Linked DNA regions of Coturnix japonica. The protein of the gene in region 4 purifies or fractionates together with the protein of the main gene of each other region. This does not show direct contact. Links are inferred from orthologs where the notes say so. Each region holds a gene or a part of one and is shown on either strand. Other genes may lie near its edges.

Region 1 (3,976 bases), on a different chromosome or scaffold from region 4:
TCTTCACAAGAACATTTTCAGTAACAAGAAATTCTGCAAACTAATGGGGAAAAAAATGCTTTTATATTTTAGTAATAAAGAACTCAAATCTTCAGCTTAGTTTTGAGAATTTGTGCTTAATATATTGACTATATCCCACTAGTTAAGTCTCCTTGCCTGGTATGATGGCTTTATTCAGAAGCAAAAGAATCAAAGTCTGGCTCTCAGTCAGAAACAGAATATGCAGAACCATCAGCTTGCTTTAAAATGTATTGAAATCACCTTCCTTGAACCTGACAGGCAAGTTTCTGGAGCCCTTTAATACAGTCACAAGCCTCAGAAGCTGAACAGCACTGTGGCCTGCATTACTATCTATCAGATAACCCAACAGAGCTAACTAGACAGAACAGAAAGATTTGCATTGGCTGCATAAGAACAGATTGATTGTGCCAGAAGCAAACCAGGTGCACCAGCAGCAACAGGCCCTCAATGGTGATGTCCATCAGCAGCTCACTCTGTAGGTGAGGACATAAATTCTATGTTCAACCTCCCACCACTTCCCCCCACGGAAAGAAAATGCTAAAAAACCCATTTTTACCGTAGCTTCATTGCAAACTGTGCATTTAACAACATGCTGGTGTAGCTTGCCATCCAAATTGATTAGTGACTGGCACACACGGCAGTTTATGACAGGAACACCACTGGCATCTGGACTCGCAATGGCAGTATATGGAGGTGGGAGCTCTGCTGCAAGAGATCATGAAATCTCAGATGGAAAACCAAACACGGCATCCTAAAACAGTCAGCAACCATAGCCACCAACAGCCACAGCCTCAAAGAAAGAAAAGTAAAGGGGAAAAAAATGTTGATGTTAACTACTGATATCCACATTAGATAAATCTAAGTTTACTTTGCGCTCCCCTCCCCCCCCCCCCCCCCCCCCCCCCCCCCCCCCCCCAACAATCTTCTGTGCAACATTATGTACATCAATCATAGTTCTACATAGAGCATATCAGCAACATAAAAACACCATAATTCATCCCAGAAAGGCAGGTCAGATGAAAGGCTCATCCATGCAACTCCATTTCATTTTCAAATCAGCCTTTTAGGAGTAAAGAAGGGGGCAAGGGAGAAACATGGATTAGCAGAATCCAAGGGTGGCTTCTGATGATAATCAGAAGAACAGACACAGCCTGGGTAGACAGAAGAGCTCATTCCAGGGTTGCCAACCACAAGAACAAGATGCCAGGGCCCCATCCAACCTGGCCTTGAAATGAATTAAACCTTCAGAGCATCTTCTTTGAAGAGTCCCAGAAATTTCTGCTGACCAAAAGCCAACACAAGGACACACAAGGTTTTCATTTACAGACCAGTACCAGCGAACATAACTGCCCTGTCCTCCTGTGGCAGGGCTAATTTCAGCACTGCCAGCCTCAAACACACAACAAAGAAAGGAGGAAACATTTCAGATCCTTCTCAGTTTAAGAATTCATGGAATGAAAACAATTCCACATAAACTCTCACAAGCTTATTACTGCAATTATTTGGCATGTATTACCAGTGGGTTTTATTTCATCATGTTCTTCAGGTAAGCAGATAAGGAATGGGCACATTTAAGTAGTTAACTTTTTCTGCTATTTTAAAATACTCTGGTAGCCTTGAACATCAAGAAATTATATCATGATTACGCCCAAATGGTCAACAAAGCCCTCAGAGAAGCAACAAGATATCAGCTTTCTTCCAGTTTACAAAGCATTATTATCTGCTGAGGTGGGGAAAAATCTCTAGCTACTACCAAAAGCAACAAGCCCAAGCAGTACATTTAGGCCTATGAGGATACGCAGATCGTTCCTTCACTCAATTTTAATGTGAATGTTGTAAACTGGAGGGATGTAAGAGGCTGTAAGATCCAAAATATCACAGAAAGACCTGGGTTGGAAGGGACCTCAAGGCCCTGCCTGGCAGGGCCACCAAACATACACCTTTACTAGATCAGGTTGCCCAGGGCCCCGTCCAACCTGGCCTTGAACACCTCCAAGGACGGGGCATCCACAACCTCCCTGGGCAGCCTGTTCCAGGGCCTAACCACTCTCCTAGTAAAGAACTTACCCCTAACATCCAACCTAAATCTTCCCTCCTTCCACTTGGATCCATTTCCCCTAGTCCTGCTATTGTCAGCCCTTTCAAAGAGTCTACTCCCCTCCTGGGAGTAAGTTCCCTTCAGGTATTGAAAGGCTGCAATGAGGTCACCCCGCAACCTTCTCTTCTCCAGGCTGAACAAACCCAACTCCCTCAGCCTGTCCTCATAGGGGAGGTGCTCCAGCCCCCTGATCATTTTCGTGGCCCTCCTCTGGACCCTTTCCAAAATCTCCATGTCTTTTTTGTACTGAGGGCTCCACACCTGGACACAGTACTCCAGATGGGGCCTCACAAGAGCCAAGTAGAGAGGGACGATCACCTCCCTATCCCTGCTGACCACCCCTCTCCTGATGGAGCCCAGGATACCATCACAAAACTTCTAAGCTTCACCACTGCTTGGCTCTCTCATTCGGCTACTTGGTACCCAAACAATCCAGATCGATACCTGACTTAACTCGCAGGCAGCAGAAGACCAGTGGATATCTTGAGAGCCTCAGAACAGACTTAAATTATTTCAGATGAGAGGCAAAATTCACTTACGTGCAGCAATGCTTCATAACTACAGAAAGAGAACCTCACACCTACAGCTTTGATGCTGTGGTTGCAGAAATCAACATCCTTAAGAAAAAAAAAACAGTAGAACTTCCAGTTCTATGCTGATTTTTCTTCCCTGTTTCTGTGGACTGGTAGCACCCAGCTGAAAATGGTCAGGGATAGGTGTAGTTTGAAGTATCATCATACTGTGCTTTCAGTACAAGACTACCACACACAGCGGAAGAAATACAAATGACAAACATCAGCAGCAAAACACAGGAAAACAAATGGGAGCAAAACAAACACTCACCCACCCACAGCACACACAAAAAATCCCACACTTTGCCAACCACAAACAATCTCAAGCCCAGCAGATCACCACACTAGCAGAAAACAGTTTTGAAACGTGGACAACTTAAAGAGCAAGATCTTGGCTGCGAGAGTCCAAGCTAAGGTTGCTGCAGGGGGTTTCCTGGCTGTAAGCAGGCTGCTTAACTGCTTCTGCAGCCAGTAACTGATACACTCCCTGGTTACAAGAAAAAAGAGCCACAGAACAGAATGCACACCCAGCATGCTAAAACCAAACTGCAGTTCAATTCCAGCTCTCAGGTTACTTCTGTAAAGCAACAACCAGATTGCAGATCTTCTTGGCTTGGCTCTTTCAATTTACAGTGAGACATAACTCCTATCAGCTTGGTACAGGGCAGCTGTATTAAAGGTAGGCAAACAAGGGCATTATTATTATTTCTGTTCACCAGTAAATACATATCCCCAAGCGTTTCAGCCTTCCACAATCCTGGAAGACTTTAAGACTGTGTCTTCTTTGTAAGAAACAACTCTAGATTTTGAAAGCTAATCAGGTAAGGTGTGCAAGTACACAGACAACCAATTTTCCAACATCACACTGGAGCTGCCTGGCTTCCAGGTAAGCTGCCTCTTCATTCCTGTGCTGCTGTCTCAGCAGATTTACAACAGCAGGCAATAATGGCTGCTTCTCAGAGTGGTGCTGCTACATCTGCTACAGAGCAGAAAGCCAGAAGTATCTTGGCACTGCAACATTTGTGTTTAAAGAAGAGACTTCAGAACGGCTCCCATAAAAACAACTAGCAAGGCCCTCCAGAATTAAGTGTAAAGAGAAATAGAGGAAAGCTATAAAGGGAAATAAAAGAACCATCTCCAAGTTTGCTGCTCCATATCCCTTAATAAAAATGCTGGCCACTTCCAAAGCACATTAACATATGTACTTGATATGACCTTTTTGGTTTTTGTTGTTGGTTGTTGTTTCTTAACAGCTTGAATTTCAAGCTAATATCTTAAAGAGCAG
Region 2 (4,462 bases), on a different chromosome or scaffold from region 4:
GTGGGCTCCACTTATATTTTGTTGTTTGTTTTGAGCTGTTGTTTGTAATAACATAGGAGAAAGAGAAGAGTGCAGCCTTCTTAATATTGCTAGGAACTAAGGCCTATAATGCTCTAAATTTTCTTGAGAATTTGACATGTAATCCATTCTGTCAACAACTAAGGAACAGTTTGGGAAATTATTTTTAGCAATTTTGTCAAATATCTCCATTCTTACCATACACTTCTCTCATGTCCAGGAAATACTGGTAGACTATTTCAGGTTTTTTGCTCCAGTATTTGCAGCTGTCACCTGTTTCACGTGCAAGTGAGCAGCATTAAATTCTTGCAGCCAAACATTTGCATTTCTTCAGCTTTTATCAACTAGTCGTGATTCTCTCATGGTTTCTTCCTTGGGTGTTTCTCAGATGAGAGTCTACCTTCTGTGAGAGTGTTTTCAAAATACAATGTCTACCCCTCGTGCTTACTCTTCTGCTGTTGGAGATGGGATAAAATGTCATACCGTAAAAAGTTTATATAAACATCAAATACCTTGTAGTGTCAGTACTTTGAAAGCTGAGGCTTCACTGGATTACAAAAAAAAGTACATTAGCACCATGCTTGTACTTGCTAATAGCTCTGAACTTCTGCTTTTCCTTAAGGATAGGGGATGCCATTTACAATTATGCAGAACAGAAGGAAATCACATGGGTACAGATGGGAACAAAGCCTGATGCTTGTTCTTTTCCTCCCCCAATGCAATGTGTGCCTGAGGATTTGTTAGGAGCTGATGGGCCCTGCTGCAGAAGACAGGAGGTTCTGCTGCAGAGCTCAAAACTAGAAAAAGAGCAACAACCAATTTTCTTCACTTTCTATTCTTCTTTTCCAGTTACAAGGACAAAACAAACAAACAAACAAAAAGACCATAACAATGTAATTGAAGCACTGAACATGAGCTGTAATAAAAAGTAGAATTTCTGTCTTTAGACAGTATCCAAAGGGAGTTTAGATAACATCCCCGAGTTCAGAAGTTGGCACCTTTACACATTAACAGGGGATTACTGAGGACTACTAATACCTTTTTGTCCTGCATCGTATAACATCTTTTATATGTTTGCGCATGTTAAAGAGTTTACATGTCATGTAGTGCTGGCTGAAAGAATCTCATTTTCTCAAACACGATCCTCATGAAAATGCTTGAAATTCAAATTCTAAATTACTCAAAAATCATTAGTTTTATTTTCCTTGCTTTGACTGTTTTACCATGTAAAATGTTACTTGAATGATACACAAATTTTAGCAGGGTGCATATTAAAGTAGTACCTACGATTTTACTGGCCTATGTTTTGCCATTGGCTGAACAAATGACACCCTCACCATCTTTGCATCCCTCCTGTGGACCACGGTGTGGACCAAGCAATTGACACTCTTCTAATTCCATCTGTTTATTTGAAGGCAGGATTGGAAAGCAACTTGAAAATAATATTTGCAGGCAAGAACAGCTGTTGGTCTGCAGTATGTAGGAAGCGGATCCAGGCAGGGCAGCAAGCAGGTGAAAGAAGAGGACATCTCCCACAGCACTCAACCCGGAAGGATTATCTCGCACCGCCGGAGCCCGAGTAGCAGAAATGGTTGGCGGGGGCGGAAAGCGGCAATAGAGGAATAGTGTCTGAGTTCCGGGGGCCGGCTGCGTGCCGGAGCTCCTCCTCGCCGGAGGCCCCGTCCAACACCATGCGCAGACTCGGCTCTTGGCTCAAGATGGCGGCGGCAGATAAACAGAAGCACGAGCACGGTCGAGTGAAGATTGGGCACTACATCCTGGGTGACACGTTGGGAGTCGGCACTTTCGGCAAAGTCAAGGGTGAGCTGTTGCGCCGTCTATTCCATTTGGGTCGGGGCTGGGGCAGGTTTCCCGCTGGGACCCTCGCTGGGGTCGTACGGGGGCTGCTGGGGCCCCGGCCGGAGGCTGGGCACTGTCAGGCGGAGAGCCGGGCGCTGTGTCGCGGGGTGCCACAGGGCTGAGGGCTGGGCTCCGGGTCCCGGCTCGTATGGCCGCGTTTGGTAGCTCTGGCTGTGAGGGGCGGCCTGGCCATGGAGGCGGCAGCGGGCATGGCTGGGGCGGGGCGGGGCGGCTCTCCGGACGGGGGATTTCTCTTCCGCGTTGGCAGACATCGTTCCTGGAGAATTCCTGCGTGCGAGTGTGATCGCATCTGTAACGGAGGTGGCCGACGTTCAGGCACACCTGCCCGCGGGATTGCGTTTTGTCCCTCAAATATTTGCCGCCCTTAAAAGGTCAGCGAGCTTTCTTGCTTCGCAAAGGGCAGAGCATTAAACCAAAAAAAAATCCTGAAATTATTTGACTAACGAGCTCAGCTGCTGACACAGCTGTGTGGGAATTCTTAGTGCTGAGGCTGGTGGTAACTGAAGTTTCTCTACAGCTCTCAGCTCAGTTGGTGGTGAGAGATTATGGTATAAGAAAAAGCTTGTCCCGTTTTTATTCAGCTAGGATTTTCCTGGAGTTTGTGTGATGTGGGTGGCTTTGCCATGACTTCAGCTGATGCGGAGCTCATTTCCTTCATAGTATCTGCTATGATGCCATGTTAAATCAGGTTAAACCATGACAGTCTTCTTGGAAGAGGGTGTTTAATGGCAGTGACAACCCCAGAAATCAAGTGGAAAAGCAGATTTGTGAGTAACTATCAAAGGTTTCCCGCTGTTCAGCAAGCTGTCAAATTAATTCACCTTTTCACTTGGTGTTTTAATATCACAGATTGTTGTTGCTGATCTGATGTTTTGCCCATGTAACTCTTAATTTGGCTCTATAATCCTGACTTAATTACTGACTTAGTTCATCTGTCTATCTCTCAGATAGGCATTCATAGAGAAGACAACTGGTTCTAGCATTCTTTTTTGCCTTTCATGTCCAGGCATAGCAAAAGTATCACTGACATGAAAGGTGAAAAAGACTGCTGGAAGTAAATGAGTTTTGTGAAGTACATTCTCACTTCAATTGTACAAGCATTTGGCATATAACACTTATTCTGACCTCAATGACTTTGGATGTTGGGCAAAGCTCTTTACAGAGGGAGTGCTGAGAACAGGCTGCTCAGGTTGGTGGTGGGTGCTCCATTCTTGAAGGTGAACATCTTCAGACCCAGGTTGGGTGGAGCATCTAGTTCCAGACCTGGAGGAGGTTGGTGGCCCTGCCTGTGGAAGAGAGGTTGGAACTTGATCCTTAGGGTCCCTTTTGACCCAATCCATTCCATGATTACTATTATAGTGTTGCCTTTTGAAAAAAAATGGTCATACCTTCTGCTGAATCCAAAAGCAGAATTTTATTTCCAAGTGTTTCAGATGGTTAGATTTCATGAAAAGAGGAGTAGTCAGACGTCTGGTAATTTTTAGTGAAACTGAGTATACTGTTTGTGATTGTAGATACAAAATGTTTGTCCAAGCCTTGAAAACAAGGCTAAGAACTGTGATCTGCAAAAATGATTTAAACAGGCCTTGATGAAATGTGGAGGGGAATAGTGAATGTAAGTTTGCTCTCTGTTGTCTATGCACAGCATTAGCTGCTGTTTTTGCTGTTTTAATTAATTAATTAATTTATTTTTCCCAAGTTAGTAACGATATTATCTTAATTTTAAAGAGTGCTGCTCTCTACTGAGCCTTGGCTTGGATTGTTTGTTTCTGTCAGTGTATTTGTTTACACGTAGTCATAGAATCATTAAAGTTGGAAAAGACCACTAAAATAATCTAGTCCAGCCATCAAATGGGGCAACATAAGAGTCTGCTCCTGCCACTAAATTTCACCTTCTGTGGTCTCCTGCGTCAAAGATCTTGTAAGTCTAATGCTTGTGGTATGGCCAAGTGAGGGCCACCCTGCAAGTGCCAGGTCTGCTAGACTGAGGCTGTATAACTTCATGTGATTTAATAAAGCCCAGGGTTTAGTGAGAGCCCCCTCTGCACTGCACAGCTGTGTATTTCTGTTGCTTGTACCTCCAACTGCCTTCCCATTGCAGAGGGCATCCAAAGAGATGCCTCCTCAGTGTGCCCATAACTGGTACCTACATCTCATAAGGACGTCATATTTCCTGTGGTTTGGGGTTGTTTTTGCCAGTATAAGGCTTGAATTTAGACAAATGTTTCTGCACTTAAGCAATTGAAATTGTTGCTGAGGTTGTTGCAACTGTGTCTTTGAAAACTTGTTGCTGTGCCTTCAAGTTTCAATATGACTATGCAATTTGTATTAGTGATAGAACATGAGGAAATGGTATCAGGTTGCACTGAAGAGGTTTGTATAGGATATCACGAAGAATTCCTTCCTTGAGAGAGTGGGCAAGCATCAGAAAGGGTTGCTCCGGTGGAGATCCCATCCTTGCAGGTATTTAAGTGGATGTGCCACTAAGGGACATAGTTTAGTGATGGACTTGATAGGTCAGGTTGATAGTTGGATCTGGTGATCTTGAAGTTTTTTTTTTTTT
Region 3 (4,632 bases), on a different chromosome or scaffold from region 4:
CGGTTCTGCCAAAAAATCTGAGCTGTTTTTGAAAAAATAAAATAAAAAATTCCATTATCACAGCCATCTCTGTAGAAATAGTACACTCACAGAAACCCTGAAGCATAAAGGTGTGCTACAGCATTTGCTTGATTTTTACTTCTACAGCAAATGAGAGAAAACTAATGATAAAGCAACATCAAAACAAAATGGAACATCTATTTTGGCATGGCATGAAAAACTGCAGTGGTCTCCTCACTGTGCCCAGCATAAACCCCTGATGTTTTCCTTTGGTAAGTAAGAAGCTGGCCCAGGTCATTATTTAATGGAATGTGAAGGGAAAGGTCGGAAGCATTCAGACAAAATTCTGAAGCTTAAGCTTTCGGCATAGTTCTCAAAGCAGCACGATGATATCAGTTCACAAATAGCTTAAGCAGGAGTCCACCACAGTGGTAGTTGTCTCAGGCTAGATAACAAGCCTTTCAAAGAGCATGAAGTAAGAGAATGAAAATGTATTTGGCACGGTGCCACTACTCAGATGATATCCTAGTCAAACAGATATGTACAGTACACAGCAATTCATCACCTCATACTATGTGGCACTGACAATGGTTGTGTTAAACCAAAATTAGCTACAGTAAATGTTTAGGAACAACAAATGGGCTTTCACATTTGCCAGTGGCTCAGGGAAAGCCTCTTGGGCAGGAAGCAGGCTCTGGGCTCAGAGCAGGAACCACATAATTCTTTACAAGTAGCGCAGAAGTATGGAACTAGGTAGACTTCTTCCCAGGATACAGCACACCATCACATTCCTGAAACACTCCGTTTTCACAAAGTCCTGGAATAGCTCGTTCTACCCAAATAGAACTACTAATTTGAAAGGCAGACTTAAGCCCCATGGCCAAATCAGGCATAACTCACAGAAACACTGCAGTAAGCTAAGGAAGGGGAAATAAAAGTAAAATAAATCAGTGAATAAGTAGTTTGGAGAGCATGAGCACTCTTAACCTGAATTTGCATAGTGACTAGGACAACAGAACCCGCAAAGAGTTCACACTTCAAACATTTGAAGACTAATATCATGCAGATAGTATTTTTCTACCATCACTGAGGAGCAAAGTGCTGCACAGCAGAGTCTGAACCACCTGCCCGGTCACATGAAGGTAAGCAAGAGTACAGTCTCAAAAAGACTGGACTCCAGCAGCTGGGTTGAAAGCAGGACAGTACTTTTCAGTTAGCACAGAAACATTATCTCATTCACAACCAACATTTTACAATGAAGGCTGATATATTGATGCTTTCAAAGAATCTTGAGGAATTATTTCATAATGGAGAAGTATACCCTGCTTTAAGATTAAAGATAAAAAAATAAAAAAAAATTTGAAGAAAAATTGTTGCTTCCAGAATCTCTTAGTTTGTCTTTTCTGTGACAAAAACAATGAGCCTACAGCCTGCCTGGGTCATATCAGCTATCTCCTGCAAGAGATCTGCAAATTCTATCTCCTTTCAACATCATCAGCAGCTCCACACAAACCCAAGTTCATCTGCTTGGAAAACTTAACAGGAGTAATTCCACAGTGGTCCAAAGAAGGCTGTCACGCTACACACCCCCCCATCAAAATCACAGAGTAGCTTCAGTTGGAAAGGACCTAGAGACCACTGAGCTTCAGTTGGGAAGGACCTAGAGACCACTGAGCTTCAGTTGGGAAGGACCTAGAGACCACTGAGCTTCAACCCTCTGCGGCAGGCAGGGCTGCCAAATACTAGATCAGGCTGCCCAGGATGAACCCAGGCACAGCTTCATTTTCCCATTGGTCTTACCTGACAACTACCAGTGAAGCGCAGTCCACATACCAGTCCTGGCTTCCCAGCCCGCAGCTCCCTAAGACTCACCCAACAGATTGTGTGATGACATGAATCAGGCCCAGGAACTCACCGCAACAGCAGGCTGAACCAGCTACAAGTCTGCTGCAGCACAAAGGAGAGTTGGGAGCGGGGAGATGCAATCGCCCTGTGGGCAGCAATCAAATCAGATTCAACCTTCTATAAAACATCATCCCTGAATAAGCGTAATCATCACTGTTGCCCAGTTCACAATGGAAGAGAAAAAGCACACACAGAAAGTTAGCACGGCACAGTGAGTCAGCACACACGTCAGACTGGAACCCAGTTTGTGTGTTGCACTTCATGAGGCTGCTGCAGTCAGAGCTGCGCTGCCAGAATAACCCAGGTGCATCACTGCAGGTGTGAGGTGTGAGACACCACCCAGCGCGGGCAGGCGGCTCCTCGAGTGCGCATCAGCCTCGTGCTCACTTCCAAATGCTGAGGCACGTGGACACCACCAGCCCGACACACACTCGCTGGTGCTGCCCAGGGCACCGTGCCCGGGTGCACACCGATGCTCCGGGTGCACACCGATACTCCGGGTGCACACCGATACTCCGGGTGCACACCGATGCTCCGGGTGCACACCGATACTCCGGGTGCACACTGATGCTCCGGGTGCACACCGATACTCCGGGTGCACACCGATACTCCGGGTGCACACCGATGCTCCGGGTGCACACCGATGCTCCGGGTGCACACCGATGCTCCGGGTGCACACCGATGCTCCGGGTGCACACCGATGCTCCGGGTGCACACTGATGCTCCGGGTGCACACCGATACTCCGGGTGCACACCGATACTCCGGGTGCACACTGATGCTCCCCCGATGCTCCTCGTGGAGCCCAGCATCCCTGCTTCTGCAGGGACGGTGCGGCCGCTACTCACATCCTGCCCACGCCCTCGTACATGCGCGTCTCGTCCACCAGCGTCATGATCTCGGTGTCGGTGAGGTGCGCGTGCTTCTTGCTCTTGCTGAGCTGCTCGATCTGGATGTCGGCGAGCTTCACCTTCTGCTGCGTGTCGATCACCTTGGCCTGCAGCTCCGTGAAGGCCTGTGGTGGCAGAGCGGCACGTCGAGCGGCTGCGGCCGGGCCGGGGGCAGAGGGGCGGGGGGCGCCCGGCCGGGCCGAGCCGGCCCAAACTGCGGGGAGAGGAGGGGGAGGAGGGGGAGGAGGGGGAGCAGCGGCCCGAGAAACACGTCGGACGGAGCCGGACACCCGTTACCTTCTTCAGCTCCAAGTCAACGGGCGCCGCCATCTTCCCCACGCTCGGCGCCTGCGCAGTGGGGGCGGTGGGAGGGCGGGGCGGAGCGGGCTGCGGCCGAATGGAGGTTAGAGCGGGGTGGGGTGGGAGGGGGCCGAGGAGCAGCAGGTTCCAGCCCACCGACCTCCATATCTGATACATGGCACAGGGCTCCATCCAGCCCGGCCTTGAACACAGCCAGGGATGGGGCATCCACAGCCCCTCCGTGCAGCCTGTGCCAGCACCTCCCCGCTCTATGTGTAGAACTTCCCCCAACATCCAGCCTAAACCTTCCCTCCTTGGGCTTAAAACCTTTCCCCCTTGTCCTATCACTGTCCACACCAGTAAAAAACTGATTCCTCTCCTGTTTATTATCCCCTTTTAAATGCTGGAAGGCTGCAATGATGTCACCCCACAGCCTTCTCTTCTCTAGGCTGAACAAGCCTGGCTCCCTCAGCCTGCCTTCATCGGGGAGGTGCTCAGCCCTCACAGCATCCCACCAATGCTCCTCTGGGGGGAATGGAACCACCCGCGGGGCTGTGGCTGTTCCCAAAGGGAGGCAGCACTGCAGCTTTGGGGTTTCTCCTTGGCTGCCTCCCTCAGAAGCGCAGGCCGAGCTCCGCTCCTGCAGTGCTGCAGCTCTTCTGCTCCATGCAGATCATGGCTGTGAGGTGAGCAATGGTGGCACTGCACTGCACCAACACTTGGTTATCAAACAGGCTGCTGTAACACACTGTGTTGGTTTGGATTTGGTTTTAAATTAAATCCAAAGATTCTGCCTGCCTACGAGCCTTGCTCTGGAGAACAGCCGGTGTTCGTGGAGGAGGAGGTGTGCTGCAGGTTGCAGGGCTCAGTGCTGGGGCACAAGGAGTGTCAGCAGTGGGATGGAGCACTCGAGGGAGGCAGGCTGGGTGGCAGGGCTCAGTGCCTTGCTCCAGGCCCCTGCTGGGCACTGGATTTAGATTGCAGTGGCTGAACTCAAGGTGGCTTTGCTTCACCCAAGCATTGCAGCCATTCATGAGCCAGCCGAGATACAAGAACACGCGGGGCTGCCACAGCTGCAGGTTCCAGGGCAAGGAGCAGGGCAGACCACACCCCAGCTCCCCATAACCCTCCCCCCTCCAGGGAGTACCCCAGCAGGATTATCCCTGCTGCACCCCAAGGCCAGCAGGCTTGAGATCTGTGCCGCTGCTCCACAGATGCTCCTGGGTAGTTTTAGTACCCCACCATAAAGGGCAAGTTGTTATCTGTACCCTTTGGAGACCTGACCCACATCTCTTAAATCAACAACTCACGTGTTTGTTACAAAGTTATTTATTAGAATATTACATTGCACTTAAAAAATAAAGGAGGTCTGACCCACACAAGGGTCATCTTGAGTTACACAAAGGGTACAGAGGCAGACCTCCAATAAATATAAATACTATGTACAATTTATCTAAAATAAATATATAATTTAAAAGGAACATTCTCTTGTTAAATAGCTGTTACCCTCCCACCCCTCCTGTGCCCACGGAAGCCTCG
Region 4 (4,750 bases):
AATGTCAGACAGGGAGACGATGCCCCGCGGGTACCGGTTCTCATCCACCAGAACCAGGCGATGGACCTGTGGGTGCAGAGCATCACAGGTGTGCAGTGAGCAGGGAATGGCATGGGTGAATGGAAGGGATATGTGTCCCTGCAGCTCACCTGCTCCTCGGCGATGCGGTCGATGATGTCCTCCATGGTTTCGTGAGGGTAGCAGGTGAGGACCCCCTCCAGGCACACGGTGCGCTGCCGCAGCGCCTCCCGCACGCTGATGTCCAGGTTGTTGTAGGTCTTCTGGGCTGCCAGGTGCTGAGAGGGATGGTGGTGCTCGGGATGTGCTCCCATGTGCCACCACGGCCACGCGAACACACTCAATACTCACTATGACATCAAACCTAGAGTAGAGCCCAACCACTTGGCCTGCAAGGAGACAGAGCAGTGGGGTGAGGAGGGGATGTTAGGAGGGGATGTTGGGATTGGCATAGGGTAGGAGCTATAAGATACCAGCAGCATTAACAACAGGCAGCGCGGAGACACGGCGGTCCACAAAGATCTCCAGGGCAGCATACACGGGAGCATTCTCAGGCACGACGGCCACGTCACGGAAGGTGCCGACACACAGCTCCTGCACTGTCTTCTTTAGGAAGCGTGGCTTGGGGATGGTGGAGCCCTGAAGCGGGCAGTACATGTGAGCACGCATCATGCACACACCCCACCCTGCAGTGATGGGCTGACCCATCTCTGTTCCATCCTGTACTCACGAAGATATGGAGGAACTTGAGGATGCGCTTGTGGGTGAGGATGTGCAGCACGTTGCCTGAGATGGGCTCGATGACAGGCAGGCGATGGATCTTGTGCTTGATCAAGGAGTAGACGGCATCGAAGAGGCTGCGGGTGGGGGGATGTGGCTGTGCCCAGAAGCCCCCCGGTGCCCTGAGATGGTGCCCACCCCTGGCTGGGGGTCTTGCCAGATCTCCCCCCTGGGCAGGAGCTCACCTATCGCTTGGGGAGATGTAGACCAGTGGCTTGAAGGAGCCCTGCAAGTACACCTCTGCAAAGGGAGAGAGCTGCAAGTGGTGTCCCACACTAGAGCCACCCCCAGACTGAGTATGATGTCCCCAGCCCAGACATTCCCCATCACCCCCAGCTTCTACCTCTCCACGTCTCAATCTTGTGCTCCTCCACTTCATAGATCTGGACCTGAGGACAGGGAGATGCCCTACTCAGGATGGCATGGCTAAGGGCTGCCTCATTCCCCAGCATCCCTCCCATCCCCCTGAGTGCAGGACCGTGCCCTTCACAGTCTGGAGCACTCACCAGGGGCGAGCGGTAGTAACGGTGCAGGATGTTGATGAAGTCAGTGATGGTGAGCATCCCTGTGGAGACACGGGGCTGCCCACTCTGCCCACATCCCATAGCAGTCCTTCTGCTGCCCTGGCACTCACCCACAAAGCTCTGCACCTTGCTGTCCCACAGCGGAGCTGCCCTCACCCCATTTGCCACCAAGGCGAAAAAGGCCTTCTTGATCTGCCAGCAGAGCAGGGAGCGGGTCAGGAGAACACTGAGGACCCCCCCACTCTCAATTAGTCCCCAGTGATCCTTGTGGTCTCACCTCCAGCGTGGTGTCGAAGACAACAAGTTTGCAGCTAGTAGGGACGGCGTCATAGCAGCAGTGACTCCTCATGAAGTGCATGTAGACCTCAGCATCAGGGGTCTGGAAATTGTTGTCAGGCTCCAGTCCCAGGATCTCATTGCCCAGAGTGAAACTGACAGGCCTGGAGCCCTTTTGCTTTTCCTCCTCCTTTTCTTCCCCCCTGGGATGCAGTGCCTCTGGGAACCCTGTGGGCACACCTGCCCCAGTAATGAGCTGAGCTGCCGGCTCTCAGTGCCCCCACACCAGGGGATGCTGCTGGGGCCAGCAGAACCCCCAGAGCCCACTCTGCAGAGCCAAGTGGGGTGACGTCGGCTTCCCAAGCAAGCCAAGGGCTTATGCACTCATTGCATGAGTGAGCCAGCCCCACCTGCTATCTATTTGTGCGCTGCTTTTCCCCCTGCCTGCTACCCACCTTTCTCCACAGGGCAGGCAGCAGCATCCAGCAGCACCATCTGCAGGGACATACAGAGGTGGGGGGTCAGCAGCAGCCAGCCCACCTTGCCCCCACCTCACTGCTTGGTTCCCCCAGGGTGCAGCCCCAGATTGCTCCTTGCCAGCATAGGCCCCATTGGGACAGTCGTCCGCTCCAGGAGAATCCCAGGTGCAAGGCGTGGGATGCCAGAACACACAGCGCTCCTGTCACTATCCCAGCCGAGGCAACCCCATGCCCTTCCTTTCCCTCCTCCGGTCCTCAAGGTGTAAATCCCACTCCAGCTTCCTCTGATGCTGAGAGCCCTGCCAGCCCCACCTGCCACACGGGGCTAGGTATGCCCAGCCTCAGGCTGGGAGACCCTACAATAACAAAGGGGCAGCCCAGGCAGGAGGGGAGACGATCATAACCAGCCCGTTGGCCTCGTACCCCCACCAGTCCCCCAGGAGACCCTACCATAACAAAGCAGCACGCAGCACAGGCTGAGCTGGCAGCAGAGCCAATGTTTACATGCCACCCTAAAGCAACAAAGCCGCATGGATCACTCTCTAAGGAGGTCAGAGCTGCCCTGGCAGGGAGGTGACCTTAAACAAATGCCCCCCACCCCAATCATTCCCCAGCAGCTGGGGCAGGCAGGCGGATCACACTGTGCCCTGTGTCATTGTCCCCACACTGATCCAGCCATAAGATGCCGCCAACCCCCCACCCAGCGTGGCTGGTCCCAAGTGGGGGCCACTCAGCCTGGCCCCCCACCCGTCCTGAGGGTACCTGGGGAGCGGCGGGGCTGGAGAGTTGCTCCATGCTGACTGCAGGACAGCGCTGCTATTCTGGGCTTGCGGCTGGCCGGGGCCTGGCAGATAGGGTGTCACTCAGCAATGCCAGCCATGCCCCCATCAATGCGGGGGGGCCACGGCCACCAGGCAGCACCCACAGCGTCACCCTGCTGTCTCAGCCTGCGGCACCTGCTGCACCTGGAGACACAGGGGATGGATGGATGGATGGCCAGAGGAGGAAAAGCCATCCCCAGCCCACCAAGTCTGTACCACCCAGAGTGGGACTCGGCCCCACCAGGAGCAGGGGTACAGCACTGCATGTACGGCAGGATGGTGAAGTGGCAGCCAGCACAGCTTGGGACAGCTTGGCTGGGCACTTTGTCCCCATGCCACAGCCCATCCTGGGGTCCTGCTGCCATCCAGCCTATTCCCAGCCCCCAGATCTCATGTCACCAGCCCCAAAACCTCTTTCCTTACCCCAATGGGCCACCCCCTCCCACCCCATGCTTGCTCCCAGCTTCATTTCTATTTCAGGAAGGTTCAAATATCACCCTGGCCTGCTGCCGGGCCAGCCCCAGAGTGGCCGTGGGCGAGCGGACCCATGGCTGGCCATAGAGACAGGGTGGCTCAAGCTCACCCCAGGGGACAGCTGGACCCTGGTCATGGCAGGGAGCAGGGCCACAGGCCCCCACAAGGGTGCCAGGCAGATGATTCTATATCACAGCCGACAGCTTCCCAAAATACCCCTGAGATGCAGGGGAGGCTGCAAGCACCCCCATGCCTTTGTATGGGGTGTGAGGAGCAAAGAGTTACTCCAAGAGCTACAGCAAAGGCAGGGAGAAAAAGAGGAGGTATGAGCTTGGAGACTCAGGGCTGGGGATGAGCCAGTGGCGCTGGGGTGGCACAAGGGTCCCCCCCAGGCTGCCTCACTGTGTGTGATACTGGCCTGCAGATGTAGGCGTCCAGCCCCAAGCGGGGCGGCCTGGCTCCAGCCTGGCCACGGCAGCAGTGCTGGCAGCAGGCATCTCCACTTTCGGTGGCTATTTTCAGGTGCTGGAGAGAAGCCGAGGAGCGATGAGATTGTCACCAAGGAGACCAGAAAACAGGGCCTGCTGCGGGCATGGGGGGCTGAGGGGAAAGGAGAGGGAAGGGCTTTCTGCAAGCACCAGCCCCACAGCACCCCATCCGAGAACCCACTGCGCCTTCATCATGGAAGGGGCCACCAGGTGTGATGAGACAGAGAGGACACAAGAGCAGCTATGTGCAAAAGTTTAATGGAAACATCTTGAGAAACGAAGGGGAAAAATAGAACAGGAGAGTAGCACCCATCTCCAGTGTGCACACTGCAGAGCACCGCAGAGCCAACTGCAGTGAAGGGCTGCTCCCTCCCCAGTAGTGGGCAGAAGCCAGAGGATGCGGGCACAAGTACTCAGAATAAAAACCCATGGGCTGAAAGGCCCAAGCCCTGCTCCTTCCAGAACAGCAGAGTGGTAGCTGGTCCTCCCCTGCCTTGGCCTGCAGTAAGAGAAGAGCAGACAACTTTGCCGGCTCTCTGGGGCTCAGGGTTAGTGCAAAGCAACACAGGCAAGGAGGGGTTCAACCCATACTGGTGAGGGAAGGAGAGAGGGAGCTGCCTCCCAGCTCATCCAAATCCTACACCAACAAGGAAACCATCACCGCATCAGGCCTGAACAACAGTAACAAATCCAACTTGGCCAGGTTTTGGCATTTCTAAAAACTGAATCACACGGCTCTCTCCAGGACCAGCCCACGGGCAAGAGTGCAGTGCAGGGAGCTCCACAGGACTTGTGCTCCAGAACCAGCTTCTGTCTCTTCCTTTGAGGTAGGTTGAGGTGTCCCCAGGGAGGGAAGGCAGCTGCCTGCTCACTGCACCAGGGCAGCGGTG
Region 5 (3,976 bases), on a different chromosome or scaffold from region 4:
TCCCTATGTCCTTCTTATATTTCAAAGCTAGCCAGGCCCACTACTCCCACCAGTTCACAATGAAGTCAATGGTAATTAAGCAGGTAAATGCCAGTGCAAGCCTCAGCTATAGGTGCCACCTATCAATGGTAATCTTGGCATGCATGCTGTTGCTCTAACATACAATTAAATCTCCTACTCTTCAGGACTCGTGAAGTTTAAAAGGCATTTATAGTTCAGATCCTATTTGAATGGTTAAATTCAGGCCATCAATTGCAAAAGTATTAACAATCCATTATGTCCTGTAAGTACTTGTGATGTTTATGCATATGCTTAGCACACCAGCTACATGTAATCACAGAACCATAGAAGTTGGAAGGGAGCTCTGGAGATGATCCAGCCCAACCCTCTGCTAAAGCATGTTATAGTAATGGCTACTATAAATTCCACAAAATACATATGGGACTCCACTTTCACAAGATAAATATTTAAAAAATTACTCAGTTTGTGAAACATTCAAAGCCCTGTTGCCAGTTACAAACATGTCACGATATCTGAAGGCACAAATGCCTACTTAAGTGCCCAATTGTTCCCTTTCATGGGTAGTACAGCCATTGACTACAGAAGAAATGCCTCATTTAAGGACATTTGCTGACATTTTAAACTGTGACTAACATTTTAGCTAGTAATTCTTGTGTTCCACTTCCTTTTTTATCGAATAGACAGCAAGTGCAATGACAACACTTTTATTCTAAACAGCTACCAAAGAGAGATGTGCTTGAAATAAAGTACTGAAAAATAGCTGGCCAATATAGAGTTCTTAGGAATACTGTGTGAGAGCTGGTTATGTTAAGCACTACTAAGAGATTTTTGAGGCTATTTTATAATGTATGAAGATAGAATTATCTGTATATAAGTTGCAGGAAGCTACCTATTGCCTATTTTCACTTGAATTAGTGAAGCCACTGAGAAATGAAGTCGCCAATCCCACATTCATCATCACCCACCACCAGCTGGCAGCACTTGCCTCACCATTGGCACAGAAGAGTTCAGGCGGGCTCCTTAAATCCCTTAGGACCAAACTCAGCTGGATTAACTGGCAACTCCTACAAACCACGCTGTGGGCTGACCTGATGTCCTTGATGGTTGCACGCTTGAGAGGGTCAACCTGCAGCATGTGCATGAGCAGAGTGGCAACGGAGCGATTGAGGTACTCGGGGATGTAAAACACACCTCCCCGGATCTTCTTGAAGAGGGTGGGCACGTGCTCATCATCAAAGGGCAAAGTGCCACAGAGGAGGGCATAGAGGATGACACCGCAGCTCCAGATGTCCACCTCTGGGCCAGCATACAGCCTGTGTGAAGCAGAGGAGGAGAAATGGGTCACAACCCTTCCTCTATTCCTCTCTGCATCCTTGGGCTGCCTAAGCCAAAAACCTACTCGAGGGTGATGGGGAATGACGCAGAGCTGCTTTTAGTTGATCACGCTCCTTCGTGATGCATGAAACAGGAATATGAGCAACTCCACCAGACCCAACAAAAAGCCCAAATCTACATTTCCAGGAGCTCTGCCAGGCTGCTTGCTTCCTTGCCCCCGAGGCTGGGGGACTCAGCCAGCAGTTTCTATTCACTCAGAAGCAGATTAAACAGCAGCAGATACTATATCTCTTGAGTGTTTATTTTCAGTTGAAGTTTGTGTGCTGGTATGCAAGAGCTCCAGCTTCCGACAAGCTGTTAATGTGCTTCCTGGCATCACCAAGTCAGGATACCCCAAATATATGGGTTTTGCTGCTGCTGCTTGCCTGCTTGATTTGTTTGTTCATTGGTTTTTGCTGAAACTGCTGATTTCTCAGAGATTCTGGGAGTCAGTGACTACTCTTGGACTGTAAAATCCAATACAGAGGTCTGTTCATGAAACCTAATCGTCCTGCACTTGCTCCTCTTGAAAAGTTCTGCTGTAGACACACCTGGTATAAAAAAAAGAACCAGCCATGCACACTGTCATTCTATGAATGCTACCCAGGTAACAAAATACCATTTCTGAGCTCATGCTTGAGACTTCTCCCATGGAGAACAGTGACAGCAGCAAAGTCAGGGCATTCCGCTAATGCAATCGGCTCCAAGTCCCCACAGTCTATGTCTGATTCCAACAGACAGGATGTCTATTTTTTGGCTGATAGCCACATTGTTTGAACCGTGCTTGGACTTTTAAACCCAAATGAGGTTCACTTTCATGATGCTGAAACACAAGGTCTCACATAGTGCACCGTCTCTGGGAGGAGCTCAGCTATATCCACCTCCAGCAGCACATTCACCCCTGGTGGAAATGGCAGGTTGTTCCTCTCTGTCTCCTATATGAACTGAAAAAAATATATATGTGGTTTTGGCCTTTATTACAAAAAAAAATATGGGAATAATATTTTTTTGAATCACTGTCGAGTTTCTGGCTTTGTGCCCCTCTTGAAAATGAGGATTTACTTGCTTTCATATGTAGAACCATAGTCACAACAGGCTTTTTGGATGCTGGTCTAGTTCCTAGGATACTCTGCCAACACACGCGCCTGTGTAAACAGGCATAAAACAGTCATCATCACAACATTAAACAAAAGGTTGGGTTTGAAAGCTATAGGCAGAGACATACCAGATTATGAAAAGTAGCTCTCATGCAAAGGATGGTTCAAAAGGATGGAGTGGATGCTAAGGTTATGGGCAGTCCAAAGGAACACGCAGAGGACTGTAAATTCAAAGATCTGTATTTGTAAACTGCATTATGCTTTTACAGAGGAGAATTAGGGAATTCAACGTAATTCAGGTTCTCAACAGTAAAACATGGGAAGTGGCATGACCGTATCAATGGGGCAAGACTGAATTCAGCCCTAGAGCCTGTGTTCAGAATGCCCTGTTCCAAACAGCTGCTGCAGCCAGTCAGGACACAGCTGAGAGATGCCACTGCTCTGCAGTTCTGTCAGTTCAATTCATCAGTTCAAGACAAAGCTACCACCACTGAACCCGCTGGCATGAACATAAGCCTGAGAGTTAAGGGACCCAAAGACAAGGATTTTCAATACAAGGGTCTAGCAGTGTAGGGAAGTGATTAAGCAGAATATTGATTGCTCGCTTAATGAGTGGTTTTCTCATTAACACTGTGTTTTACATAGGTGGGCAGGAGAGAAAGGGGTGGCCTGGAAAAGCCTATCTTTCTGAAACCTCAGTGACTGCATCCAAAGAGTAATTTTCATTCCCTTTAATTAGCAATGTACACAGTAAACATCTGCTGTTAATAATTCCTCCAAAGTAAACATCTTTAGCAAAACATGTTTTGCTAGTACAGACATTGAGAAATACAACGAGCAAGAAGACCTTCAGATATTTCCAGCAGACTCACCCAGGCACAAAACACCGGCTGGAACCACTCAGCTGCTTTATTACAAGCTGGTTCCAATCCCAAGAGCAAATTTAAAGACCACATACTCACATGATTGGAAGTGGCATGTCCTACCTTCCAGAGATGACTTCAGGGGCTGCATAATTTGGGGAACCGCAGCTGGTGCGTAGAAATTCACCATCAGACATCATGTTGGACAATCCTAAAAACAAGGTGTTGGCTACGTATTGACATCCAGACAGGGAGAAGAGATACAGCAAGCAGAGGGGGAAATCTGATGTAATCTAAGTAGACACCTTTGAACCACTTTGCAATTACAGCTCTCATTTTCTTTCCAAACTAGTATTACTGACTCCGAGCTAACTTTGCTTCTCTGAGTTGCAAACCTCAGAACCTTTCTTCTCTACCATAGAAGAAAAGAGAGAGTTCTCTTCAGAGAACATAATGGCTGTGAAATGTGTAAATCTTCAAAAGAATTTATCACTGCTAGAAAGGACTGAACAGAACAGGGCTGGAAACTCAGCTTTTACGTTGGGTTTCAATCTGTAATGCCACTTCCAGACTCTTGTTACTGTTCATTTCTAAAACGAAGTGAGGCCAAAGGCACACAGC

The links.
Region 1: the proteins of PRKAG3 (region 4) and PIP4P2 purify together in Homo sapiens (affinity purification with mass spectrometry; 3 studies listed by BioGRID and IntAct, with this or other methods). This does not show direct contact. The link is inferred for Coturnix japonica from reciprocal best matches to the Homo sapiens genes PRKAG3 and PIP4P2.
Region 2: the proteins of PRKAG3 (region 4) and PRKAA1 purify together in Homo sapiens (affinity purification with mass spectrometry; 3 studies listed by BioGRID and IntAct, counting the BioPlex papers as one, with this or other methods). This does not show direct contact. The link is inferred for Coturnix japonica from reciprocal best matches to the Homo sapiens genes PRKAG3 and PRKAA1.
Region 3: the proteins of PRKAG3 (region 4) and PFDN1 purify together in Homo sapiens (affinity purification with mass spectrometry; 3 studies listed by BioGRID and IntAct, counting the BioPlex papers as one, with this or other methods). This does not show direct contact. The link is inferred for Coturnix japonica from reciprocal best matches to the Homo sapiens genes PRKAG3 and PFDN1.
Region 5: the proteins of PRKAG3 (region 4) and PRKAA2 purify together in Homo sapiens (affinity purification with mass spectrometry; 3 studies listed by BioGRID and IntAct, counting the BioPlex papers as one, with this or other methods). This does not show direct contact. The link is inferred for Coturnix japonica from reciprocal best matches to the Homo sapiens genes PRKAG3 and PRKAA2.

The regions. Positions count from the first base shown.
Region 1 is NC_029517.1:112,956,199-112,960,174, forward strand, and holds part of PIP4P2 (type 2 phosphatidylinositol 4,5-bisphosphate 4-phosphatase), read right to left. Parts: intron 727-3,976; coding exon 578-726; intron 1-577. UniProt on the Homo sapiens protein: Catalyzes the hydrolysis of phosphatidylinositol-4,5-bisphosphate (PtdIns-4,5-P2) to phosphatidylinositol-4-phosphate (PtdIns-4-P).
Region 2 is NC_029547.1:11,813,454-11,817,915, reverse strand, and holds the start of PRKAA1 (5'-AMP-activated protein kinase catalytic subunit alpha-1), read left to right. Parts: upstream 1-1,530; 5' UTR 1,531-1,709; coding exon 1,710-1,839; intron 1,840-4,462. UniProt on the Homo sapiens protein: Catalytic subunit of AMP-activated protein kinase (AMPK), an energy sensor protein kinase that plays a key role in regulating cellular energy metabolism.
Region 3 is NC_029528.1:15,557,735-15,562,366, forward strand, and holds the start of PFDN1 (prefoldin subunit 1), read right to left. Parts: upstream 3,216-4,632; 5' UTR 3,124-3,215; coding exon 3,091-3,123; intron 2,919-3,090; coding exon 2,752-2,918; intron 1,991-2,751; coding exon 1,916-1,990; intron 1,795-1,915; exon of another isoform or gene 1,661-1,794; intron 1,629-1,660; exon of another isoform or gene 1-1,628. UniProt on the Homo sapiens protein: Binds specifically to cytosolic chaperonin (c-CPN) and transfers target proteins to it. Binds to nascent polypeptide chain and promotes folding in an environment in which there are many competing pathways for nonnative proteins.
Region 4 is NC_029522.1:24,310,524-24,315,273, reverse strand, and holds the start of PRKAG3 (5'-AMP-activated protein kinase subunit gamma-3), read right to left. Parts: upstream 3,090-4,750; 5' UTR 2,873-3,089; coding exon 2,840-2,872; intron 2,094-2,839; coding exon 2,054-2,093; intron 1,839-2,053; coding exon 1,600-1,838; intron 1,515-1,599; coding exon 1,305-1,514; intron 1,188-1,304; coding exon 1,142-1,187; intron 1,039-1,141; coding exon 984-1,038; intron 876-983; coding exon 749-875; intron 658-748; coding exon 492-657; intron 408-491; coding exon 370-407; intron 297-369; coding exon 150-296; intron 67-149; coding exon 1-66. Other genes in the region: tubulin polyglutamylase TTLL4, read right to left, coding at 4,729-4,750. UniProt on the Homo sapiens protein: AMP/ATP-binding subunit of AMP-activated protein kinase (AMPK), an energy sensor protein kinase that plays a key role in regulating cellular energy metabolism.
Region 5 is NC_029523.1:23,047,202-23,051,177, reverse strand, and holds part of PRKAA2 (5'-AMP-activated protein kinase catalytic subunit alpha-2), read right to left. Parts: intron 3,567-3,976; coding exon 3,479-3,566; intron 1,947-3,478; coding exon of another isoform or gene 1,898-1,946; exon of another isoform or gene 1,351-1,897; intron 1,335-1,350; coding exon 1,110-1,334; intron 1-1,109. UniProt on the Homo sapiens protein: Catalytic subunit of AMP-activated protein kinase (AMPK), an energy sensor protein kinase that plays a key role in regulating cellular energy metabolism.